Linked DNA regions of Arabidopsis thaliana. The protein of the gene in region 1 interacts with the protein of each later gene in a pairwise test. Each region holds a gene or a part of one and is shown on either strand. Other genes may lie near its edges. The genes, in order: AT1G73660, LHCA3, FASS and AT4G17250.

Region 1 (7,718 bases):
TATCAAATCCCTAATTGCTAACATTCACTTAAATTTTCCATCTTTAGTTCTTAACAAGAGAATAATTCGAAGTCTTGATGAGTAAGAGTAACCTTGTGTTATCCTCTTCCTGAAACACATCGAGTCGTGACTTCTTCATCTGCTCGGAGACAACACCGAAAGCTAAAAACCCAGCCCAGGTAAACCCGGCGCCGATTCCGAACCGTCGCGTCACCGGAGAAGTAATCCAATCCGTCAATTGCTGCTCCTGCAATGTGACCACCGCCGTTGGTTGTGGATTCTCCGTGAATGTGACGCTTAGCGACTGCGATAGAAGACTCTGTTTCGGATGTTGGGATGGAGAGACGAAACGGTGGTGAGAAGGAACCGTCGCAGTGAAGAGAGTCGCCATTGTCAAAGATTTTTCGTAAAAGCAAAGTTTTTTAAAATATTATATTATTTTGATTCATATATCCCAATAATAAAGATCAGCCTTATCTTGTTCGTGTGATGAATAAAGACAGAGCTCAATGATTTTTTTTAATATATGTTTTCGGTCAACGTTTCGACGAGTTTGTCAATTGTTTTTTCTTTCTCTCTTTGTACAGTTTCAATATTGGAAAACAAAATAGAGGAAATTACGCATGAACATGAACATCGCTTGCAAGCAAAGACAACAAAACACACGAGCACAATCCTTCACCTTCTTCAATCGTCATCTTCCATGAATCTTTCTTTTTCACAATTCACAAGCTGTGTCAAACACTGAAGCTGAGGCAAAAAGTAGCAGAGAAGGAACATTTGTAGCTTTTTTTTCCTTCAAACAGATTGAATTCGTCAAAAATGTGTTTGCCACTTTGGTCGTCTTCTTCTGTTATCAATCCTTTTGTTCATGTTCAGTTGGTAATGAAGAGGAACTGGGGACTGGTCTTGGGATGTTGGAACCTGTTACAGGTTTCTGTAGCCGCTTTAGAGACGCCATTATCTCTGCAAAACTTGGCCTTAACTTTGAATCCCTGATAAACACACACAAAGCCATTACATGTGTTAACTGAGACATGGTCAAGTGAAATGATGTTGTTTAAGCACTGCTACTTCATATTGTGGCTGAAACATTGAAAAATAATCTATACTCACGTCTGCCAGCATTTACTGATGAGATCTGCAATTGCTGGATCTACAAAGTCGGGAATGTCAAGACGTCGATGCTGAAACCCAACTGCCCCAACTACTTGCATCGGGTTCATCTTTCCCCACGGTTGTTGTAACGTAAAGAGTTCCCATAAGATCACACCGTAGCTGTAAACATCGCACCTGTTTCACGTATTGTTTTTTCCTGACATTAGGCCTGCTTCTGACAAAAGGGAACAAAATGAATATCTAGTAGCAAAAGATCTAAGAGCATACTTCTCATCAGCAGGTTCGTTTCTTAGCACTTCTGGAGCCATCCATTCAGCCTTTATAAGACCAACACATAATTAGATTAACGAACTGGCAATTACAATAACTGTAAAAAGAGATGATTAAGACAGGGGAGACTATAACTTGCTTCTTACCGTCCCTGCTGTTGACTTTGAAGAGAGGTATGTACTGTGTTTCATCCTAGACAATCCAAAATCACACACCTGATATATATGAAAATCCAGTATTTGTTATGTAAACTTATAGCTGTTACATACGATATAACATTATCCACTTGGTAAGAAACAATAAATTTTATGGAGAGAATCTGACCTTCACGACCCAGTTTTTGTCAACTAGAAGGTTTGGGGACTTAAGATCGCGATGGACAATCATCGGATTACAGCTGTGCAAATAGTTCATTCCACGAGCCTGAATACAAGTAATATGTTACCTCAACACTCTACTGAAAGAATCAAGAAGTTACAAACAGGTGATATAGTAAGAGAAGAAAAGACTAATACAGCATCAAGGGCCATTCTCAGGCGCCTCCTCTCGTCTAATTGGTTATTTGGCCGGTGGATTAACCTATACAAGCTACCTCTGCACAAGTTTGGAAAAAAATATTATAATGTAAAGATCCAAAAACGAAGCACAACCGGATTGAACCTGTTCAAACCATCCAGATTTTAGAACTTAAAGCAAATACTTGAACAACACTCATTGATGCAAAGAAGATTTTGGCATTTAGAGGTCACAAAATAGATAAAAACAGAGGCATGCGCATCATGAATAAGGAGATGGAAATCGTTGTAGCCATGAGAATCATATCAAAGTAACTGAATCTTGCAAAGATCATAGTATTACCTAGGAAGAAACTCTGTAACAATTGAAAGATTCGGTGGGCGAGTCACAGCTCCCATGAAGAGAACAATGTTGGGATGTCTTAGCTTTTTCATGATTCGGACCTTGTATCACAAGAATATATAAGAAGGGTTTGATATAGAACTAATCAACATGGAAAATCAGGTAAAAGAAAAGATTAGAAGAAAGGCTCGTACCTCACTTCTGAATTCCTCCAATGCTTCTCCTGTTAAATCTTGATCAAGGAACTTCTTGACAGCCACTTCCTAAAGTTCAAGAGTTTCGACGATATGGAACTCAAACTAAGGAATTTCTAAACTCTTTTTTCATCGAGTTCAAATTCACAGTATAAATTGGAAAAGCAAATATAATACTCACAGTCCCGTGCCAATCTCCCCGATACACTTCTCCATAAGATCCTGTATCAAAAGAAGTAAAGTAGTTAATTATTTGAAGATGTAGTTACACCAAAGCAGATAACAGATGATGATAAGTCAGGTACCAAGTCCAATACGTTCTCCCACAGTAATTTCTTCCCACAAAATCTCACAGTCAGATACATCATCACAGTCTGACTTAGAACTTTCATTGCCAATAGATTTGTCAGATATTCTTTCCCCTCCTGAATTTGGCCCATGATTAGAGTCCCCACTACCTTGAGGCTCATGCCCACCAGAACCATCATCCCCGTCGCTATTCGAGCCTAATTCAAGTTGCCTGGACACGGCTGCAGCTGTTGCCACAACTGCAGCAGCAGTGGCCGTGGCAGCAGCTGCAGCAGGAAGTTCTATGGGGGAGGAGTCTGAGTTTGCAGACTTGGCAGCAGCAGCAGCAACCATGGAAGATGCAACAACAGCAGCTGCAGCTACAGCAGCAGGGACGGTTCTGGCATATTCTGTCGAAGATGCTTCAGAATGTGAAGAATCAGACTGACTTACAACTTTGCCATTATCACGTTGATCATGTGCATTTGTTTTAGATTGCACTCTTGGTAATGGAGGCAAAAACCTCACTGGACCAAAACCGTTTTGGTGTCTTCCTTCCTGAGTTGTCTCTAAATCTTTTCCTCTCTCTTTCTTGGCTTCAGTCGAGTTTTTGCTTTCAACAGTTGCCTCCAATTGCTGGGGATAGACTTCGGAAAATAAATTGGGAGGAGCTACAACTCCGCTTTCAAGTAATACATCATGAAGCTTCTGAGCTAACCGTGGATTCTCTTTAGCAGCATCAATCATATATTGTGAAACATCTTTGACTTTCATCCTTTGTGCAGCTGGGGAGCTAACCCCTTCAGTCCAAGAAGGTGATCTCATATGGGTGAAAGAATGAATAGGCCTGCTAGACAGATTTTGAAATGGAGCCTTTTCAACTTTCTTCTGATTTTTCACATCTTCTCTAGAAATATTTGGATGAACAATGAGATCGCCTCCACCTCCGGATTGGTTTCTCTCCCCAGAACTCTTGGTACTAGAACGATGTTCCCCTGTTCGAAACTCTGTATTCTCTTCATATGAGCTTTCAATACCATTGCTGGAAGAAGCTACATGAATTGAATCATTGTCTCCAGGACTAGCGGAATAGGCAGATTCATCATAGTCTATTTGTAGTCCAGCTGCATCAGCTGGAATAAGCGTGCCGGGATCTCCCATAAGATCAACAATGTACTCCCTGAAATTCACAATTGAATAGCATATAACAAAGTTTCTTTCTTTAAGCCTCAATATTAGCTTCAGGAGGTGCAGATTAGATAACAATATACATGAATGATAGACAAATATTGAATCTACACATTAATGTGATGATTACCTGCCATCATCAGCCTTAATAAAGTTCATTGCCACATCTTCAGAACCGGTATATTGCTGACCTTTGACTATTCGACAAGGAACACCAACACTATCACACAATACCTACAAAGTTTCATATAAAGAAAGAACCATAAGAAATGAAATAAACTTAAAAGTGCTGAGATTCAGAAGAAAAAGTGCATACTTTGAATAACAAGGCTCGGTGACGAGCCAAACCAATAGTCAGAGAACCAAGTGGCAAAACCATGCTTCCAAGAGTTGCTTTCAAACTATAGCTAAGACTCCTCCAAGCTCTCAACATGCTCTCTGGGTGCACGACTGGTCCACCCATGTAATCTCCCACTAAAATAGCCAGTTTCCTTACCAATTCACTATTCACAAAACCAGAGGAAGAAACTGATCTTGATTTAGCAGCAATATCAAGAGCCATCTGTTCAAGTCTCAACAGATTAGAATCCCCACTTCTGTTCACAAGAACAGCTTCCCATGTCACACCGTCTGAAACAGGTGTCCCTTGAAGATCGAGCAAAGGAGGTATTCTTTCTGCTGAGGATGCATTCAACACTCCATACAAGTCATAAAAACCATCCAAGATCTTGTCATCATAGCCAAGACAATTGTAATTCTGTGAATGCAACAATACCAAAATGAAATGAGTTCTTGGGAGTAACTAAAGAGTTTCTGTTATGCAGAGAAAACAATTGAATCAAAAGCTTACCCAGTAGCGATAAGCGATGAGTTCAGCTGGAGAGTTCTCAGGAGCACAAGAGCCTAAACTGAATTGCTTAATAGCCTCAATCTGAGTAGCCTCAGGATCTTCTCTAGCACTTAACTCTAAAGCCAACTGTATCTGATTCTCTTCTTCAACAGCTGGATCTTTGGAACCTAAATCCACATGTTCTGACCCATTAACAACAACAGTGTCATCAACCGTGGCGGCTCTGTTCTTGGCATTGAAAGAATTAGGAGGACTAGGGATTTTTCTATGACCAACAGAACTTAACCAATTAGATAAACCAGAAAAAGGTTTGATTTCAGGGCTATTGCTGTGATGAGACCTCGGTGATGATGATGATGATACATCGATAGACTTATGATGATTGCTCTTAGTTGTTGAAATTGATCCTTCAGCTTCATCTGATTGATTGGGCGAGATATGAAGTTTCTTAAGAAAGTTCTTCATGTTCATCTTCATACTCCAAATGCTAGAACAATGATCAACAGGTCTTAAAACCACTCCATCTCCCAAATTCTTCAAAGTTTCTTCTTTTACTTTCATAAACCCTAATTCCTCCCCGGAATTTAAATCAAAAGTTTGAAACTTTCACCGGAATTCACGAAGACCAATCAAAAAGAACAAAGATTTCAACTTTATTGGACTTCAAAAGGCAAAAACTTGAGACAGCAAAATTTGTAGAGAGCTTGAGCTCAAAACACACAGAATTTTTTTTTTTTTTTTGATAAATCACCAAAATGGTTAAAAGCACACACCCACTCAAATGCAGAATTTAAAGAAAAAAAGCATATGACTGACAATTTTCTCCGTACTGATATGAACCGCTAATTCTCCTCCTTCAACCAACTTGAATATGTATCTCTCTATCTATCTCTGACGCCACTTTCTCTGTCTAAAAAGTTGGACAAAGAAAGAAGTGGAGAGAGTGGCTCTTCTCTAGAAGAAAATTAAAGTTTGCATTTTTGATAATTGAGGAGGAGAGTTACTTACTGTGACATGCAAAACAAAACAGAACAAGAAAAAAGGCGTATCTTTTTCACTAAGCTTAGTGCGTGAACTTGAAAAGATGATGACGAAACATAATTAAATTGCACCAAGACAGACTTAACGTCAATTGAGGCATTTAAAACGGTTACTTTTTGTTTCTATAAACAGCATAGAATCTACATCAATTTATTCATTACTATGTCAAAAAAGAAAATTCTGAGAAAACTGTGAGATACATTTTTTGTCCTTAATTCACTAATATATAAATAAAAATACTTACGGGAATGTTTTCTTTAAAATTTTGCATTAGAACAATAAAAAAACTATCCAAAGTGGTTTAAAGCAATTTCTTTGATTCATTTTAAACGCTAGCAACCGCAAACTCAACATTTGCATATGGTAGTAGGAGAACCAATCAAGTTCTAAATCAATTTTCATTTTTCGATCAAATATATCAAAAGTCTTTTTGGTCATATAATTAAAACTGTATTTTTATTTTTTTTAATAAATAGTATAGCGTTTCGATCTTTTATACTTGTATCTCTTTTGGGAATAAAAGAAGAATAGCAATTGTCACGGCAATTAAGGACCATTAACTTTTTATATTTTGAGAATGACTAGAAATAGCTTAAGGTGTCAATTCTAAAGAAAAGACAAATGAGAATTTAACTGAATATTCACTTGAAAAGCACGTGGTTAATTGTATATTGCAGTGTCCGGTGAATCTTACTAAGATAGAGCTCAATTAATTAACGAGTTAGATAATTAGTACTCCGTTATCTTGCTTTTGATGAAACTCTATTTTCGTGAAGAGACACCGTTATCTCTTCGATCATTCAACATATCTATCACTATATACATATGTAATTAATTAGTTTATATAGTGGTTACGACTTACAACTTACAATAGAGATAGCTATGTATGTCATATATGCACAAAATATATGAGTTTATTATAGTATATGATTAATGTCAAAATATGGACAACCACACGTATGCATGTATGATTTATGTAATAGGTAATCATTGTATCTTCTTTGAACTTATTAAATGGTGTGAGCTATGAGCCAATAGTTGACCAACACGAATATTTATGATTTTTCCAGTGATCAACTCTATAGTGTCCACACGATTGTGAGGTTCAGAAACCATCAGGTAATTTTTTTTTAATGTATCATTAATTAAGGTAACTCTTTATGTGTCTTGGAAATTGTTTTCCACCATAGAAGATGATTATTTGTTGAAATAATTTATACGTAATTTTTTTTAAAAATTAAACTTTACATTTTAATTTTTATATACTGGAATGATAAATACGGTAAAAAACAAAAATATACTATTACCGTGGTTTTCATATTCATCCCCCCCCCCATTCGACTTAAATATGTTATCTACTTTTCCAACTATGACACTTCTCAAAAATCTATTTTATAGTATAAAGGATCTGTATTCCATAAAATAAAACAAGAAAAAAGGAAAACGATTGGAGGTTTTAAGTGCTCAAGGGTAGTTGGCTAACAATTCAATTTTGGGCGGCTTGAGATTTGTCCGAAAACATAAGAAAAGATTTTTGATTTGGAATAAATCTTATAGTAACATTAAAACATACAAAAAAAAAAAAAAAAGTAAATGGGGCTTGAGTTTTGTCCGAAAACATAAGAAAATATTTTTGATTTGGTATAAATCTTAGTAACATTTAAACAAACAAAAAAAGAAGAAGTGAATGGAGAGTTTCTATTTACTACACGTTATGTTTGGTTTAAGCCAATAAAAAAAAGCGTTTACGTAACCATAAAACATAGCGTGTGTGATTTTGCTCAGAAAAGAAGAGTTTAATAGGCCAAAGCAGCAAGATTAAAAGTTAAAAGTTAAAACCGTAAAAGAACATTCGTTTCTCCCGGGAGGTTTGACTAATTTGACTGTACCACGTGAAATGGACGCGCGAA
Region 2 (3,848 bases), 5.0 Mb from region 1:
ATGCCAGAAGGGTTTTGATAGAAGGGTTTCAGAAATCGCCAGGATTTTTCAGCATAATGACCTTTGAGACTCCAGCGAACTCATGTGATTAGTACAGTGGATGTGGATCTTTTGGTTTGTGTGTGACGCACGTTCCTCCAAAATTTAAATGCTACAAAGGGTTTATATATCCATTAGGGTTTGCAAGTGTTTTGGATGCTGAAGATTGTTACCAGATTTGTCTCCGCAATTGTTCTTGCTTGGCCTTTGTTTATATCAATGGACTAGGGTTCTTTATGTGGAACCAGGACCTAATGGACGCAGTGCAATTTTCTGCTGGTGGAGAACTTCTTTCCATTCGTCTTGCAAGTTCTGAACTAGGTACGGCTTAAAAGATAACACGAAAGAGCTACTTCTTCAATTATAGTTTTGTCTTCAAATCCATTGATAGTGTTTCTCTTTGATAGCACCAACATGGCTTATTGTTAAATTTGTTTTTGTCTTAAATGTCTAAGGTGGTTTGGGAGATACAGAGTGATAAGATGAGACTACTTTTAAAGCATAACAGGTACAGTATTTCATAACATTCTTTGAATATACTAACCGCTTTGTTTGGTTTGCAAATGCCAACTGTTAATCCTAAAAGTTTTTTCGTTTGGCCATTGACATTGTCATTTCTTACAAAACACGAATATGTTTACACAGGGTGTTACAATACGAAGAAGCCAATGGTAGCGAAAGATGGAAATATTGTACGATACAAGAGACATAAAAACACATGAGATGATGATCACCTCAGTGGAACTTGAGGCTGGTCAAGACGTTGTTGTTGACGGGATCAGCCAAGTGATCAAGCAGGTTCTGATAAGGTCCCACACCGGTCACTAGTCCTTGGATAAAGTAACCGAGGATGGCGAGCATAGCCAGTCTACCGTTCTTGACCTCCTTGAGTTTCAACTCCTTCAGTGACTTCTCATCTTTCCCAAACCCAAGAGGGTTGAAGAAAGGTCCACCGGGGTAAGCCGGGTTACCTGAACCGGCCAAACCCTTCTCTAACCCCAAGAAGTACTGTTTTCCCATAGATCCTGGGTTGTACCAGTCCTGTAACCTCCGGTGCTCAGCGAATCCCATCAGAGCCATCTCGAGAACAAAGAGTGTGTAATTGTCTGCCCAGTAAGTGTATGTCCCTGCTGGTGGAATCACACCGGTTTGGAACCAAGGAAGAGCAGTCTCTGCTGGAATCAGACCAGCCTTTCCTAAAATCTCAGGAGCAATAGCTCCAGCTGCACCCAACATGGCGAACCGTCCGTTGATGATCTCTCCGTATGCTAGCCATCTTGGCTCAATGAATCCTCCAGTACCTTCTGGGTCTGAAAGACCAAGAGGGTCGAATCCATAGTCACCAGGTAAGCTGCAAGAAGAATCAGAACATCTCCAAATTTTGAACATCATGAAGTTCTCAAAACAAATAAAATTCCAAAAGTTGTTTGAACATTACCTGCCATCCAAGTAAGAGAGACTCTGCGATGAAGCAAACCACAATGGTCTGTTGGCTCCTTGCTGAAAAACCAAAACACAAAATCAAGATCAGATTATTCAGTACATAGAGAAAGAGAGAGATCTGTGAAAGAATAGAGACTGTCATGTACCTTGACAGGTGGAGTTGCAGCAGCTTTAACAACAAAGGAACTCTTCTTCTGTGAGGCAGACGCAACTGGTTTTGAGCCAAATATCTGTCTAGCTGTCTGAACAGAGGAGGTAAGTGAAGAAGACACAAGTGCTTGTGCTGCCATTTTCTCTGTTCCTCAACTCTTTTCTTCTGTCACCAAGAGATGATGATGATGATGGTTTGGTTATGGTTTGCAAGGGCTATGTTAGGGTAGAAGAAACAAAGGTTCCAAGTACTTGTGGCTTTCAAATAGCCCAACTGGTTTTGCTCAGATTAGATTAGTATCTGCTTCACCAACTATATCTGTCCACGTGGCAATATAAGTTGGATAAGAGATTATGTTATTCTGTTTTTGCTTATCCGCCACACACGAACAAAAAATCTTTACAAAGATGACTATTGGATACAAAAAATACATATGATTTATATAGATTGAAAATTGGAATGGAGATGCACTTGTGTGGTAGAAAAAAATTTTGAACTATTGATTTACGAAAACATTGGAGAGGCTGATACGGTTAAAAAGCATCCATGGTATTTGTTAAACAAGGTTTCCTTAGCATGAATCAGTTCTCAGTTTCTTTTTATACCCAATCAGTTCAAATTTTGATATAACAATTCAACTGATAATAGAGATAAACAAACCATTAATAGTCTGTCAAATACACCAAAGAAAAATCGTGGTAAAACCGAGTTTTAGGCTTGTAGCAACTCTGGATAGGGCAAAGAGAAAGTACATGAATAAAATAGTACTTAATTACTTATTAACTATGTGATCCTTCATCCTTGGGCATTAAGAAACAATTTGTGATGGAAATTGTAAATATTATATTTTTTTTAAACTATTTGTAGTTTTTAAAATAAAAATCTATAATTCTTTTTGATTAAATTATTTTATTAATCAATTTGTAAGAGTTCTTTTTTGGGTTGTTCTATTAAGGTCCTGTTTGTTTGTCCATTTGGATGAACCATCTCAATGAAGATGAAAATTGTTGTTTGTTTTTCATGTTTAAATAGATCATTTGAATGATTCAGTTGAATGTTTTTTTCTAAACTCATCCAAAAAATAAAAAAAATCTGACTGAGTTTGATTTGTTCATTCTGCTGAAGCTGATTCAGCCAAAATTATAAAATGTCAATAATACCCTAATCTAATATATGGAATTACATCCAAAAACCACATCTCTTCTTCACCCTCTCCTCGACACAAAACACTCAAAATTGAGATTCATAGCCGTCAATGATGCTGATTCTTCGCCGGTGATCTCGCCGTCGCCGATTCTTCACTGGAGACTCGTCGGATCCATCGCCGGAGTGTAGTAGGTTTGTGTTTCTCTCTCTCTCTCTCTCTCTCTCTCCCTCTCTCGCTTCCTCTCTCTCGCTCCATGTCTCTCTCGTTGTTTCTCTTTGTATCCTTGTTGCAATCACTTGTTCTTGGGTTTGATCCACCATGGTTACATTGTTTAATTGTGGGTTTGCTTTACTTTGCTTTGTGTTGCTTTTGATTCTTCGATTAGCTTTAGTTTACGGCTTGTGTTGCTTTGCTTGCTTTGTGTTGCTTTTGAGTCTTCGATTTGCTCTTAAGAGGCTTTGTTGTCTCTACATTAGGAGCAACAGAACCATTTGGTGCTGCCACTTTAGCATCTGCACTTTAGCCCTCTTTAGATTGACCATCCATAGTTACAAACTTCAGCTGCCTCCTTGACGTGTTCAATTGCATCCAAAGTGGAATTGTTTTTGTGTTTATAGGTCTTTTGTATTTTTGATGCAGAAAGCTAGGATCCAGATTGTGTTATCTGATTTGTTTTGAGATACAATGATTGATGATGTTGTGACTCGTGTATAGCTCATTGATAAAAAACTTTGCATTAGTCTCTATTTAGTCTCGAAGAACAAGTTTGGCTCTGAGTTTTGTTGATTGATGATGTTGTGACTCGTGTATAGCTTATAACTGCTTATTTATACGGGAGAATTTCATCTTATAAAAGATTTTTTCTCTTCAGTCCTTGTTTCAGCAAGTTTTGTCTCCAAGTAAGAAAGCTTTGGTTTCTCAGGTACGTCCTCTGTAATTAGTGGTTGCATTTGGCTTTCTGTAGTAGTAGCATGAGTTCGTCTAAGGTTTGAGTTCAAATACTGTAGAAATAGTCAAGAATAATATCTCATGATTGTTCAATATCAAATAGTTTTTCTTTGCTTTGTT
Region 3 (5,720 bases), on another chromosome or scaffold:
CGCTCAAGAGGAAGCTAATAGTTTGTCAAACATGGTTCACTCCGACAATGTCAGGCTTGAGCATGATGTAGCGTTCCTCAAAGCTGTCCTAGACGATACACAAAAGGTAAAATAATCCTAGTAGATATACAAGCGTTTTCAAAAGACTGAGGATTAAAGTTTAATACCGTTTTGTGTTATGGGTTTTGTAGGAGTTGCATTCAACAAGAGGAGTTCTTGCAGGAGAAAGAGCAAGAGCGTTCCAGTTGCAGGTGTCATCATAATCATCAATAGACTCTATTCAAATTTGCATTTTCAAAATGTAGTATTGTTCTAAAAACTTGAGATGAACGCAGGTTGAAGTGTTTCATCTGAAGCAAAGATTACAATCTCTAGAGAACAGAGCTGCTACACCCAGAAAGCCTTTCCATGTCTAAACACAGACCAGAGACAACACGATAACTTTTATGACTTCCATTTTGTAGTACTCGAGACATGACTGAATTCATGTGTGTTGTGGAGTAATGTATAATAGAAGTGAATTCAGAAATGTCAAAAATCAAATCAGATCCCAAGTAGAATAAGACAAGTGACGATATAAACAGCCATTTCATTAAACGTCACCAACTAATAAGCTTACAAAGATACACACACATGAGATGAGACTGTTTACTAGTGCGAGACTTTTGATCTCAATGATTTAGCATTTTTTTTAGGTAGACATAGAAAATAACATTATCACTGAGACTCTTCCTCAGGTGGTTCTTCTTCTTCTTGAAGAAGGTTCTCACGGTTGTCATGAGCCCAGAAGCCACGCACATCTATAAGCATGCTCGCAACGGTTCCACCTTGTTTACATCCCAAGAGATCACCCAGAGTGATCTTTAATGGGTCAGACGGTTTCACCATGTCCCAGATCTCGTCTCGAACATCTTCTATGCACAGTTCATAGTTCCCACCTTCTATCCATTTCTGGTGAACATCTCTGCAAGTTAAACAGATGAATTCAGAAGAGAGACAATGGCATTATCACACATCAATGGTGTGTTTGATATGCACTAGTGTCTTTGCAGATATGAGACTCGCGGAACAAAGCTCAGCTTCCGCAAGCAGGAAATGCAGAGTGTTTATTTAGGAAGATTGTATCAGATAACATCACAACTCTTTGATGCTCCCCTTCTTTACTTCCATGTTTCAAACAAAATTTACTAAAAAGTAAGAAACCAAACAGATTCAGTCGCTTCATAGAGATTCATTACCTGAAAAGAGAGTGAATATCAGCAGTAGTGAGAAAGCCTCTCCCTTGGAGATCAAGGCAACGGAATAAATACGTCAAACCCTCTGGAGTATCTTTGTTCTCCAAAGCAAGAACAAAATCGAGGAAACTGTCAAAGTCCATTTCCCGGGAATTGCCTGCCACGATTTTACCACGGCGGACATGCTCATCGAACACTAAAAAAACAAAGGGGAATTAGTATACTAAGCGTGTCTCGATCAGTACCACGAGCCTACAATCACCAAAAGGGCTTAAATTTACCTCTTTCAATGAAAATCTCAGTTAGGGTCCCATCAGCATATTCTTTAAGTTCTTGTTTGCACAGCGATCCACTCATATCTTTATCAAGTGCGAGGAACATATCTACAGAAGAAAGAGAAACTCTAGATCAATCTCCATTTTAGTTCTTAATATGACATAACGAGAGTTGTTTCCAGTTCTCTGCAGCTATTAAGACAAAATAGCACACCCACCACATATGCGTTGGGCTGAAGTCAAAGAGAACCAATTTTCTGCCTGTTCAGTGTCTGTGACTTCCTCCTCGCTTTCCTAACGTTGAGTAACCAAGGAACAATCAGAAAACACAAGCAAGTAGCTTATGAAAGTGGAAAGTTATACGGTGACGAAGCTGTATGTCATACATCCTTCAACTAAACTTACCTGATGCAATTCCATTAGTTCCTGCAGACAGTTACTGAGCAGTATCTTTTTAATGCAGGCTCTTCCTGTACGCAAAAAATATCACATTTACGAGCGATTGAATACTGGGTCAAAGAAATTTCTAATTGCCTAATAATAATAATATTTTCTTTCACTTACCTCGCCTATGGGGATCACAGAAGAAGAAAAACTTTTGTGAAGCTATGCGGCAATACATTTGATTAAAGGCCGGAGGCATGTCTCTCAGTTGTGCCAGATTAGGGATTAGACCACCAATATAGGACTCCATTTCCTATAATAACAACAGCAAGTAGACTAACTGTAAGGAACTTGACATAAAAGTCAACACCATTTGACATTTGCAGGTAGGACGACTACCTAAAGAATCTTGAGCCAATTCTAAAGTTAAAGCTTTAGAGCCACTTGAGTACTTACATCAGAATGAAGGAAACCATCAGAGTCTTCGTCAAGCTCACTCATATCAATCCTAGCTTGTGTAAGCGACACCTGAATAGTGTTGAACATATGATTAATCAAAACAAGTATTAACTATAGTTGTTTAAGTAAAAGACACGCCAAATTAAAAAAACTTGAAAAACAAACATCCAAAACTAGCAAAGCTGGTGTCACTCAAACACAGTACCAAAGAATATTTAGCTTATGGCGACAGATGATATTCAGCCAATGAACAAAAATGATACCCAAAGACATGACATTATAAAAACATAAGGATACTCACCGTGCGCATCACATAAAGATAAAACGGTAAAATGGCAATCCTCCCAGCCTCATCCTTCTCAAATTTCATGAAATTGGATGGGCTAAAAAACCGGCGACATTTGGGACCGATTTGTTCAGTGCATACAGAGGCAATGTGACAGAAGTCTTCATAGTTCATCTACATGAAAAAGACAGCGCAATATCAGCATCATTGTTAACATAGTTTCAGCTCCAGAGAAAAATCCTATAAAAGATGCACGTACCTTTTCAGCACCAGTGGCATCATCAATCACACAATTTTCTCTCAAACAAACCCACATAGCAGCCAAATCATCAGCGTTTAACAAAAGATCCGATTGTTTCTGTGGGAATTAATCAACATATCGAAGTGAGCAAAAACATTAAACTTCTTCTGAATAATTAAGAGCAGGCGAAATACCTTCAAGAAACGGTACTTTGCAAGCTTCTGGACCCTTTGACTAATAGATCCTTCTTCTGGTTTCTGAACCAAGAGTAAAGGAACAAAATTTTATTGCCTAACACGAATACTTAAAAGGAAAAACAACTTCTATGAAGTGTATAACACAATGCAATATTTTAACCGAGTAGTGCCTTGAAATGCAAAGGCAATCATTTTATACAGAGTAAGGGACATGCCTTCTTGTAGAAACTCGGTATTGTGCCTGCTTCTTGGCTTTTCTGTTGCTTCTCTTTAAAAATCTCGAGCAAGATTCTCTTCGTCTCAAGCTCTACAAAACAATGAACACAAACCCTTATCAAACTAAGCAAAACCAAAGACTCTATCACAGTTAAACATAGTCTTTCAATACATAGACATGTAAATTCAGGAACTTTACTCATATTGAAAACACAACGAGCTCTAAAATGTGATCAAAGATTCAAACTTTACAGAATTTATGACATCATCACAAGCTAAAAGATAAAAAAACTACAGACTGTCCCAACAACCAAAACGCAACAACCGGCAAAAGGAACATTACCCATTAGAGCTTCGGATCCTAATCCGGCACCGGAACCAATATATCGTCGTAGATTTCTAACCCAAAGCATCGAAGACGCCGGTGGGATCTTCCTCTGCGTCGATGTATCATGACTCTCACCATCGCTAGATCCGCTATACATTCTCGGAGATCGTCACAACCCTCGACGATAAATGTTAGTCACCAAATGAAGCAGAGAGATTAAAACCCTTAAATAGAATGGTGAGACTGAACCAGGAACTGCAGAAACCCTAAAGCGCCCCCTTTCTCTCTCTCTCCCTCTCTGGAGCTCAATCTGCGAGATCCAAGCTTCAAACTTCAAAGGTAATAAAAGTTTCTCCTTGTTTGCTATATAAGTCCTCAATTTTATACTACTTTTGATTGTAACCCCCTTTACTTTGAAAAATCAATATTTAGTACAAAATGTTGTTTATATCACATAAAGTCCCGTTAAGATTTATCAGAGAAACAAATGGCTTCCATATCCATTAACTGTTTCTTCACTCCTCAAGCTCTAGCCCGACCCAGTAGGACGAGGAAGATTTTCGCTAAACCTGACAAAGTCTCGGGAAGAACCCGAAGCCCTAGAAAAACGAAGCTTCAACGCGAAGTCGAGCTTAAATCTCGAGGCGGTGATAAACTCCAGCCAGTTTCTGATGCCGGCGGCGAAGCCACTACTTATACACGTCTTCCTCCTAGGGAAGATTACTATGATGTCTCTCTTTTGTCTTCATCTTATTTAAAAGTTTCTGAAGAAGTGAAGCTATCTGAGTCCAATGTCGCGAGGGTTGAGGAAAAGATTGAAACTTTGAGGGAAATTGAGGAAGAAGAGAAAGAAAAGGAGGTGAAGAGTTATGATGATGATGATATTTGGGGAAATTACAGAAGATTAGATGTGTTTGAAGGGAGTTCAAGATCAATTGATGAAGATGATGAAGATTGGGAAGACGAAGTGTTTGAGTATGGTGATGAAACTGATGCGGAGAAAGATGATAGTGAAGGGTCTGAATTGAAGGATGGAGAAGTGTTATGTTTCTCCGGTGAAGAGGAAGAGGATGAAATTGGGGTGAAGGAGAAAGGAGTTCCGGCTGTGATGAGGTGTTTCGATAGAGCGAAGATATATGTTAGAGCCGGAGATGGAGGGAATGGTGTGGTGGCGTTTAGGAGAGAAAAGTTTGTTCCTTTTGGAGGACCTTCAGGTGGAGATGGAGGGAGAGGAGGGAATGTGTATGTAGAGGTTGATGGGTCTATGAATTCGTTGTTGCCATTTCGCAAGAGTGTGCATTTCAGGGCGGGACGTGGGGAACATGGGAGAGGGAAGATGCAGAGTGGAGCTAAAGGTGATAATGTCGTGGTGAAAGTGGCTCCTGGGACGGTGGTTAGACAGGCTAGAGAGGTTGGGAGTGAGGTGGAGGGTGAGGAAGGGGAGGAGAAGGAGGTGCTTTTGGAGTTGTTGCATCCGGGACAGAGGGCGTTGTTGTTGCCTGGAGGGAGAGGTGGACGAGGGAATGCTTCGTTTAAGTCGGGGATGAATAAAGTTCCTAGGATTGCTGAGAATGGCGAAGAAGGTCCTGAAATGTAAGTGTGTATTTTTCTTCATTTTTGAGCTGGTTTTAGTTTAGTGTGTTGATGATGGTTACAAGCTTTGATAGGATAAACTAATCACAGAAGCTAGATTGTTCAAAGATGTAAAAATTTCATTTTGGTTTAGGAACAGTTGATTTGTATTTCTTTTGTTTGGTAAAGCTTGATGTTTACATGTGAGCCCTGCTTCCTTCATTCGATCATCTGGGTTAGGTTTAGTATCTCGGTTAATCTCCAGAGGAAATCTCATCTTGTAAGTAATGCTCACTATACAAGAATTTATATATAGATACAGGTACAGGACTTTTGAAAGTCTTCCATTGCTGACTCTGCTAGTAGAAAAGCTCATGTTGATAGAGGTATGTTAGAGTATTATGAACGGATATGAGTTTCTGGGTTATCTATAGACTGGATTGGGTACTCTTAGAGTCCAACACTATCATGCTGTTGGAGAATTATGAGACTGTGTTTGCCTTTAGGAAATGTAATATGTGGTTCAT
Region 4 (5,167 bases), on another chromosome or scaffold:
CCATATTGTAGAACCCAAAGCCTAATAACCGTACACTAAGCCCTTACATACATGAAACGCTGAATTGTCATTGGTAGAAAAGGAAATGGAAGAGTAGTAGTAAGGAATTATATCAGTTAATAAGAGTTGTAATGTGAATAGAACACGTAACTGGACTAGTATGCATGTGTATGAGAAGTTCAAATCTTTAACTCTCACAATATCGTCGAAGACAATTGTTTAGGATAAGATAGAAACTAAATGAGCATTTAAAATTTAAAGAAAAAAGGGAACTGTAGAGTTGCCTTGGCAGGAGGGGAAAGCATTATCATGAAGAATCTGGTCTACAAGAATGGGAAATGGACAGATGTATCTGTTCACCACCAATCCATCTTCATAACTCAAGTGGTCCCTTTCTCTCGACCCATCCACGTCTCCTTCATCACAAGTAAGACCAAATTAAGCCACCATTTGGTGTCTGTCATCTTCTCTTTAATGCTCTCTTTTGTTCTTTCTTTATAAACACAACAAGACATGAAAGGTTTTTGGGAACTTGTCTGAGTTCCAATGCGGCTGCTGCTATCATCTGATCCCCAACCCGAACTTACGTCTACATGTACCTCTCATAGTTGCGGCTGGAAGCCTTACTCTCATTCCAATGACTTTGCTGCCAACGCGTTCCTCCTTCTCATCATCCTCTTCTGTTCTTTCATATGCGTCCTCTCTCTCCACGCTGCTATCCGTTGTTGCCTCCGTCCAGTCCTCCAACATGTCCCTAAGCCCGACCCGGACCTTGAGGCCACCCATCCAGACGCTCCCCCGACACTTGTCTACTCCCCGGGCCTAAACCTAGCAGGCAATGAAGCAGAGTGCATCATTTGTTTGTCTGAATTCCAAGACGGTGACACCTTACGCGTGTTGGAGAGATGCAAACATGGATTCCACGTTTATTGCATCCAGAAGTGGCTCTCCTCATCCCATTCTTCTTGTCCCACTTGCCGGACAAACATCTTCTCCTCCCCACCTCAACTTCACTCACAAAGCTTACCACTAACGAGTACACCTTAGTCAGATGGTAGCTAGTTCCTGGTCTTGCCCACTTTTTTTTTATCTTTATTTTCTTTACAACTTCACACCACTATCATGTTTTACAAGTTAGTTTATTTTTTACCTTTCTCCTTTTATATTCCATGAAATTTGCACAGTCTAAAATTGATATGAAGTCACTTTTGTGAATCATCATTTACAACGTATAACAAACAAAGACCAATGTGTAACGAAGCAATAACAATACCTCATAATATAGAGGGACCAAAGGCTTTATTTAATGTCGGAGTTCAAGATATATGAGGTCTTGACTGGTGTTAGGTACGTTCCCACTTGTTGGATAAGATAAAGAAAAGAGTTGTTACTAGATAAGATAATGGATAAATATAGAGGATGAGAAAAAAAAATAGAAGTGGAATGACGACGACTCACATTACGAGCATTAACTCCATTGCCCATTGGCATGGAATGATTCTAGCTAGCAGTAGGAGAAAATTCCAAGTGCGTGCAAAGTTCTTCAATGAATTCCTAGACCCCCTAACCAGAGTCATGGATGCAATACTGGAAAGGCAAGACTATGCTCGCTGCATATTTTCAGGTTGCTGACATGTTCAAGCTCAAAACACAATCAAGCGATGAAGTTAGAGGAGAAGATGATTGAACAACTTTGATCTGGTCTCAAAGGTCAAAGCCATGCAATATCTCCTCGTATGTACTACATTGTTCTAGATAGCCTAATGATGCACATCGTGAGTTATGTTAAAAAACTATTTTTAGAAAAAGTTACTGAGAGTTCTGGACAAAAAGTTCAGGGTAATGATATTTAAGGTGACAAAAGGTAGGAGATGTTACTATTCACAAAAAAAAATTAAAGGGTTATCTTGTAATGCGACTTGTTCATGTTAGTTGTTGACAAAAAAATAGACTGTTGTAGATTATTTGTTATGAGGGTAGGAGTAGGATCGTGTAGTGGAGAGACGAACACGTAAGTAGAAAGAAAGAGCCTTGTTATTAGATTAGAGCTGTGTTAATGTGTGAACGCAACCAACAGTTCGTTTTTGAACGAGTCTAACTAGAGACAAGTCAAAGCTTATGACTTTGAGTGGACACTGGACAGAGCTAGTAACTTCTTTGAAGATTCTGAACAATTTTATAACATCAAGACACGACTCTGTCGCTCTCTCTCTCCATAGAAGAAGACGAAGAAATAGAAGAATCGAGAGAGTGAGACAAATCTAGTGATGGGTTGCGACTCACATGGAAATCTAAGCGACACAGAGTTCAGCAAGCCGTTGCCATCCATAGGTGTATATGTCGCTGCAGCTTCACTGATCTGTGGAGTTGCTATGTTTTCCGATCTTCTTCACGGCTTCCGGCACCGTAAGTTCTGGTTTCCTTGCAAATTCTTCTCTCTCAACGCTACCACTCTCACCTTTATCTCTGTATGCGTCAAACTCTCATTGGATCTCAACACTTCTATGCCTAGTCGCCAAGATCAGCTTGCTAAACTCAGCAGCAGCGTCTTCGTATGCACCGTGATGGCTAATTCCATGCCTTCTCTTGGTTACATGGTCACGCAAGATCTCCTCATGAACCTCACGGCTCTTGGGATTCTAGTCATCACCGATGTTGTTAACATCTGTATCCAATTGGGTACAGGAGCTATATATGTGTTCCCTCAAGAACACGCTCTGGTCATTATTCTCATGCTTTTGATGTTTATGATCTTGAGTTTCTCTGCTATCACTGTCCCAGCCACAAAGCGTTTCTTGGAGCTCAAGTACAAGAAGAGATACGAGTTTGCTTTGAAGCAGTGTCCTTCGTATACAGAGAGAAGAAGAGGGGTTCCTAAGCTTAAAGAAGATCTGATGAAATTCTGGATGATGGCTCACACTTCTAGCCCTCAGTTTGTGATGGCTCGCTCTGTTACTTGCACCACCACTGGTTTCCTCTGTTTCTTGATTGCAATCACATTGGCTGAAGCCATGGTCCGGTCTTACTTTCTTCAACCCCGGTCACTAGGGTTCTGCAATGGAGATTCTGATTACAAATGGTCAACCACTTTGGTTCTAGTCTCCCAGACAGCTGCAGTGGCCATAGGAACCGTTGCTCCAGCGAGCAGATGGCTCAAGGCAGTGAACTTTAGGTGTCCATTTAGAAACAAGAAATCTTTGAAAGATGAGTTAAGAGTAGAGAGTTATTGGGTAGAGTGTCTCGCTGAGAAGAAAGAACGTCCCTTGAACTTTTGGATGCTCCATGGTCGCTGCAGCAGGAAGCTTGCACACGACTTAAACCGGTTGATGCTTGATATCTGCATTGCAACACAGTATGGTATAGTGCTGGCTAGCAAGTTTCTCCGTTTCATCACGGTCTATTGTTCGAGTAGAATCTTGCTATGTTGTTTTCATTTCACCTTCAAAAGTGATTCTGTTGCAAACGCTGAGTCCTCCGGTTCAAATCCATCAACCAGACAATTCGTTCTGCATCTTGAAGGAGAGGAGGAGATGGTGGACTACATGGCACGTAGCAACCGTGTGGCCACAGACCACTTGATACAAAAGGGTCGGAAGAAACAACCTGTAAACTTGATAGAGCTCTTGGAGGCAACAACTTTCATCTCAAAAGGATTTGAAGGGATTCGAGATTTTGACAGCGACGAGGTTTCTTCTCTGGCCTCTGGAGAGCCACCTAATAGTTGGGCCCTTCCATTGGTAACACTGACGAGTATCGCTGTCGCTCTTCCTAACATCAAGCCTTGCTCGCTCAAGAAGTTAGTGAAAGCTGTAAACGAGGCATTGGTCTATGTCAACAAGTTCGAAGAGGTCTTAGACATCGAAGGAGAGTTAGCTAACAGCAGGAAAGCTGCAGAAGTTGTTTGGTTAGGAGTTGATCTCTACCATAAATGGCTCAACGTGGATCTTCGAAAACTATCCAAGCAACATAGCAAAACACCACAGGAAGTTCTTAAAGAGCTGGTAGATATAGCACAAAAAGAGTTTACAGAGTCATGGGAGAAAAATCGGATACTATGCATGAAGCATAAGCCCTCGCACTGGCCCATCAAGACTCAAGCAGCAAACTCAATGTACCGAATCAGCCAAACCCTTTTGATGAAGTACGAATCAAGAAACATTGAAACAGAGGAGACTCTGTTGAAAGATGTGGAAAAGATGGTATCGGACATAGTATCAGGATGCTTTTGCAACACGGCACAAGTTATTGGAATGAAGTGTTTGGTTACAGCAGTGGAAGTGAGGGAAGCGTCGGTGAGAGAAGCGGCAATGCATTTGGGGAGAACAGAGAAGATACTTGAGATCGTAGACAGGAGATGCATGCCTGCTTTGTCTCATCACAAAGTGGCAAAGATTGATGAATGGAGAGAGTTTTATAGGACCAATAAATCCATCACTTTCACTCATCCTTCGTCCCAGTGTACGACCCGTGAACTCATTATCAACCTAGAATAACACATTTTCTTGTCACATTTAAAGAATTAATTACGTTTTGTACATGATAAAACCTAATTAGCAAATAAAATCCTTTCTTTGTCGGTTGATCTAACTATTAACACTTGATGCCAAGTCTAAAGAGTTTATTAGTTTTTAAAACCCAGTTTACCAATAATAAGTTTCCTTTGTCGGTTGATGCACTAGTCAAACTATCAAAGTCGTCAAGTTTGCTTTGTTGACAAGGCAAAGCTACTCTTCCAAAACATTGATCCATTCTTCTGGAAATTTGCAATAACGTCTCAAGACCAATGCAAGTAATAATTTAACCATGCCATGTTATCAACAAAAGCTGCTTCTCTGATTTCTAGAGTATTATTTTTTAACCATTATTGAAGTTTGAAGATTTCTTATTATTGCTAAATGGTAAAACCATCTTGAGGGGAACAATTTGATAAAACTGTGTGCTGCTTCCTGTCTCCGACCAAAACATGTTTAAAATTAGATTCGGACCAAACAAGTTGTCAATTTTTAGTACAAATCAAAGGTTCAAATGTCAATAAATAATCATTACATTTTAAAATTTCGAAATAAAAGGACAAACATGTAAAAACCAAAAAAGTGAAGCACTGATATTTGTCATTTCTGCCTATAAAATGTACACTTCCCACTCACACGGTCACAGAAACCAAATT

The links.
Region 2: the proteins of AT1G73660 (region 1) and LHCA3 interact in a two-hybrid assay, tested with the Arabidopsis thaliana proteins (one study listed by BioGRID).
Region 3: the proteins of AT1G73660 (region 1) and FASS interact in a two-hybrid assay, tested with the Arabidopsis thaliana proteins (one study listed by BioGRID).
Region 4: the proteins of AT1G73660 (region 1) and AT4G17250 interact in a two-hybrid assay, tested with the Arabidopsis thaliana proteins (one study listed by BioGRID).

Annotation. Positions count from the first base shown.
Region 1 is NC_003070.9:27,691,391-27,699,108, forward strand, and holds AT1G73660 (protein tyrosine kinase family protein), read right to left. Parts: upstream 5,983-7,718; 5' UTR 5,329-5,982; coding exon 4,768-5,328; intron 4,675-4,767; coding exon 4,234-4,674; intron 4,152-4,233; coding exon 4,048-4,151; intron 3,910-4,047; coding exon 2,747-3,909; intron 2,664-2,746; coding exon 2,623-2,663; intron 2,511-2,622; coding exon 2,442-2,510; intron 2,349-2,441; coding exon 2,248-2,348; intron 1,984-2,247; coding exon 1,905-1,983; intron 1,813-1,904; coding exon 1,714-1,812; intron 1,605-1,713; coding exon 1,536-1,604; intron 1,437-1,535; coding exon 1,387-1,436; intron 1,294-1,386; coding exon 1,117-1,293; intron 996-1,116; coding exon 857-995; 3' UTR 503-856; downstream 1-502. Other genes in the region: AT1G73655 (FKBP-like peptidyl-prolyl cis-trans isomerase family protein), read right to left, coding at 93-391. UniProt on the Arabidopsis thaliana protein: Acts as a negative regulator of salt tolerance. Mediates sugar response during early seedling development.
Region 2 is NC_003070.9:22,698,076-22,701,923, reverse strand, and holds LHCA3 (PSI type III chlorophyll a/b-binding protein), read right to left. Parts: upstream 2,032-3,848; 5' UTR 1,773-2,031; coding exon 1,629-1,772; exon of another isoform or gene 1,540-1,628; coding exon 1,478-1,539; exon of another isoform or gene 1,432-1,477; coding exon of another isoform or gene 1,391-1,431; coding exon 775-1,390; 3' UTR 512-774; downstream 1-511. UniProt on the Arabidopsis thaliana protein: The light-harvesting complex (LHC) functions as a light receptor, it captures and delivers excitation energy to photosystems with which it is closely associated, here photosystem I.
Region 3 is NC_003076.8:6,173,212-6,178,931, reverse strand, and holds FASS (tonneau 2 (TON2)), read right to left. Parts: upstream 3,961-5,720; 5' UTR 3,779-3,960; coding exon 3,637-3,778; intron 3,385-3,636; coding exon 3,293-3,384; intron 3,138-3,292; coding exon 3,075-3,137; intron 2,998-3,074; coding exon 2,899-2,997; intron 2,814-2,898; coding exon 2,655-2,813; intron 2,423-2,654; coding exon 2,351-2,422; intron 2,208-2,350; coding exon 2,075-2,207; intron 1,981-2,074; coding exon 1,916-1,980; intron 1,805-1,915; coding exon 1,729-1,804; intron 1,619-1,728; coding exon 1,517-1,618; intron 1,432-1,516; coding exon 1,239-1,431; intron 1,229-1,238; exon of another isoform or gene 965-1,228; coding exon 718-964; 3' UTR 531-717; downstream 1-530. Other genes in the region: AT5G18590 (Galactose oxidase/kelch repeat superfamily protein), read left to right, coding at 1-106, 192-251, 336-416; EMB269 (GTP1/OBG family protein), read left to right, coding at 4,109-5,214. UniProt on the Arabidopsis thaliana protein: Probable regulatory subunit of type 2A protein phosphatase involved in the control of the dynamic organization of the cortical cytoskeleton.
Region 4 is NC_003075.7:9,668,837-9,674,003, forward strand, and holds AT4G17250 (uncharacterized protein), read left to right. Parts: upstream 1-1,926; 5' UTR 1,927-2,267; coding exon 2,268-4,493; 3' UTR 4,494-4,639; downstream 4,640-5,167. Other genes in the region: AT4G17243 (uncharacterized protein), read right to left, coding at 461-493, 1,151-1,219; AT4G17245 (RING/U-box superfamily protein), read left to right, coding at 547-1,047.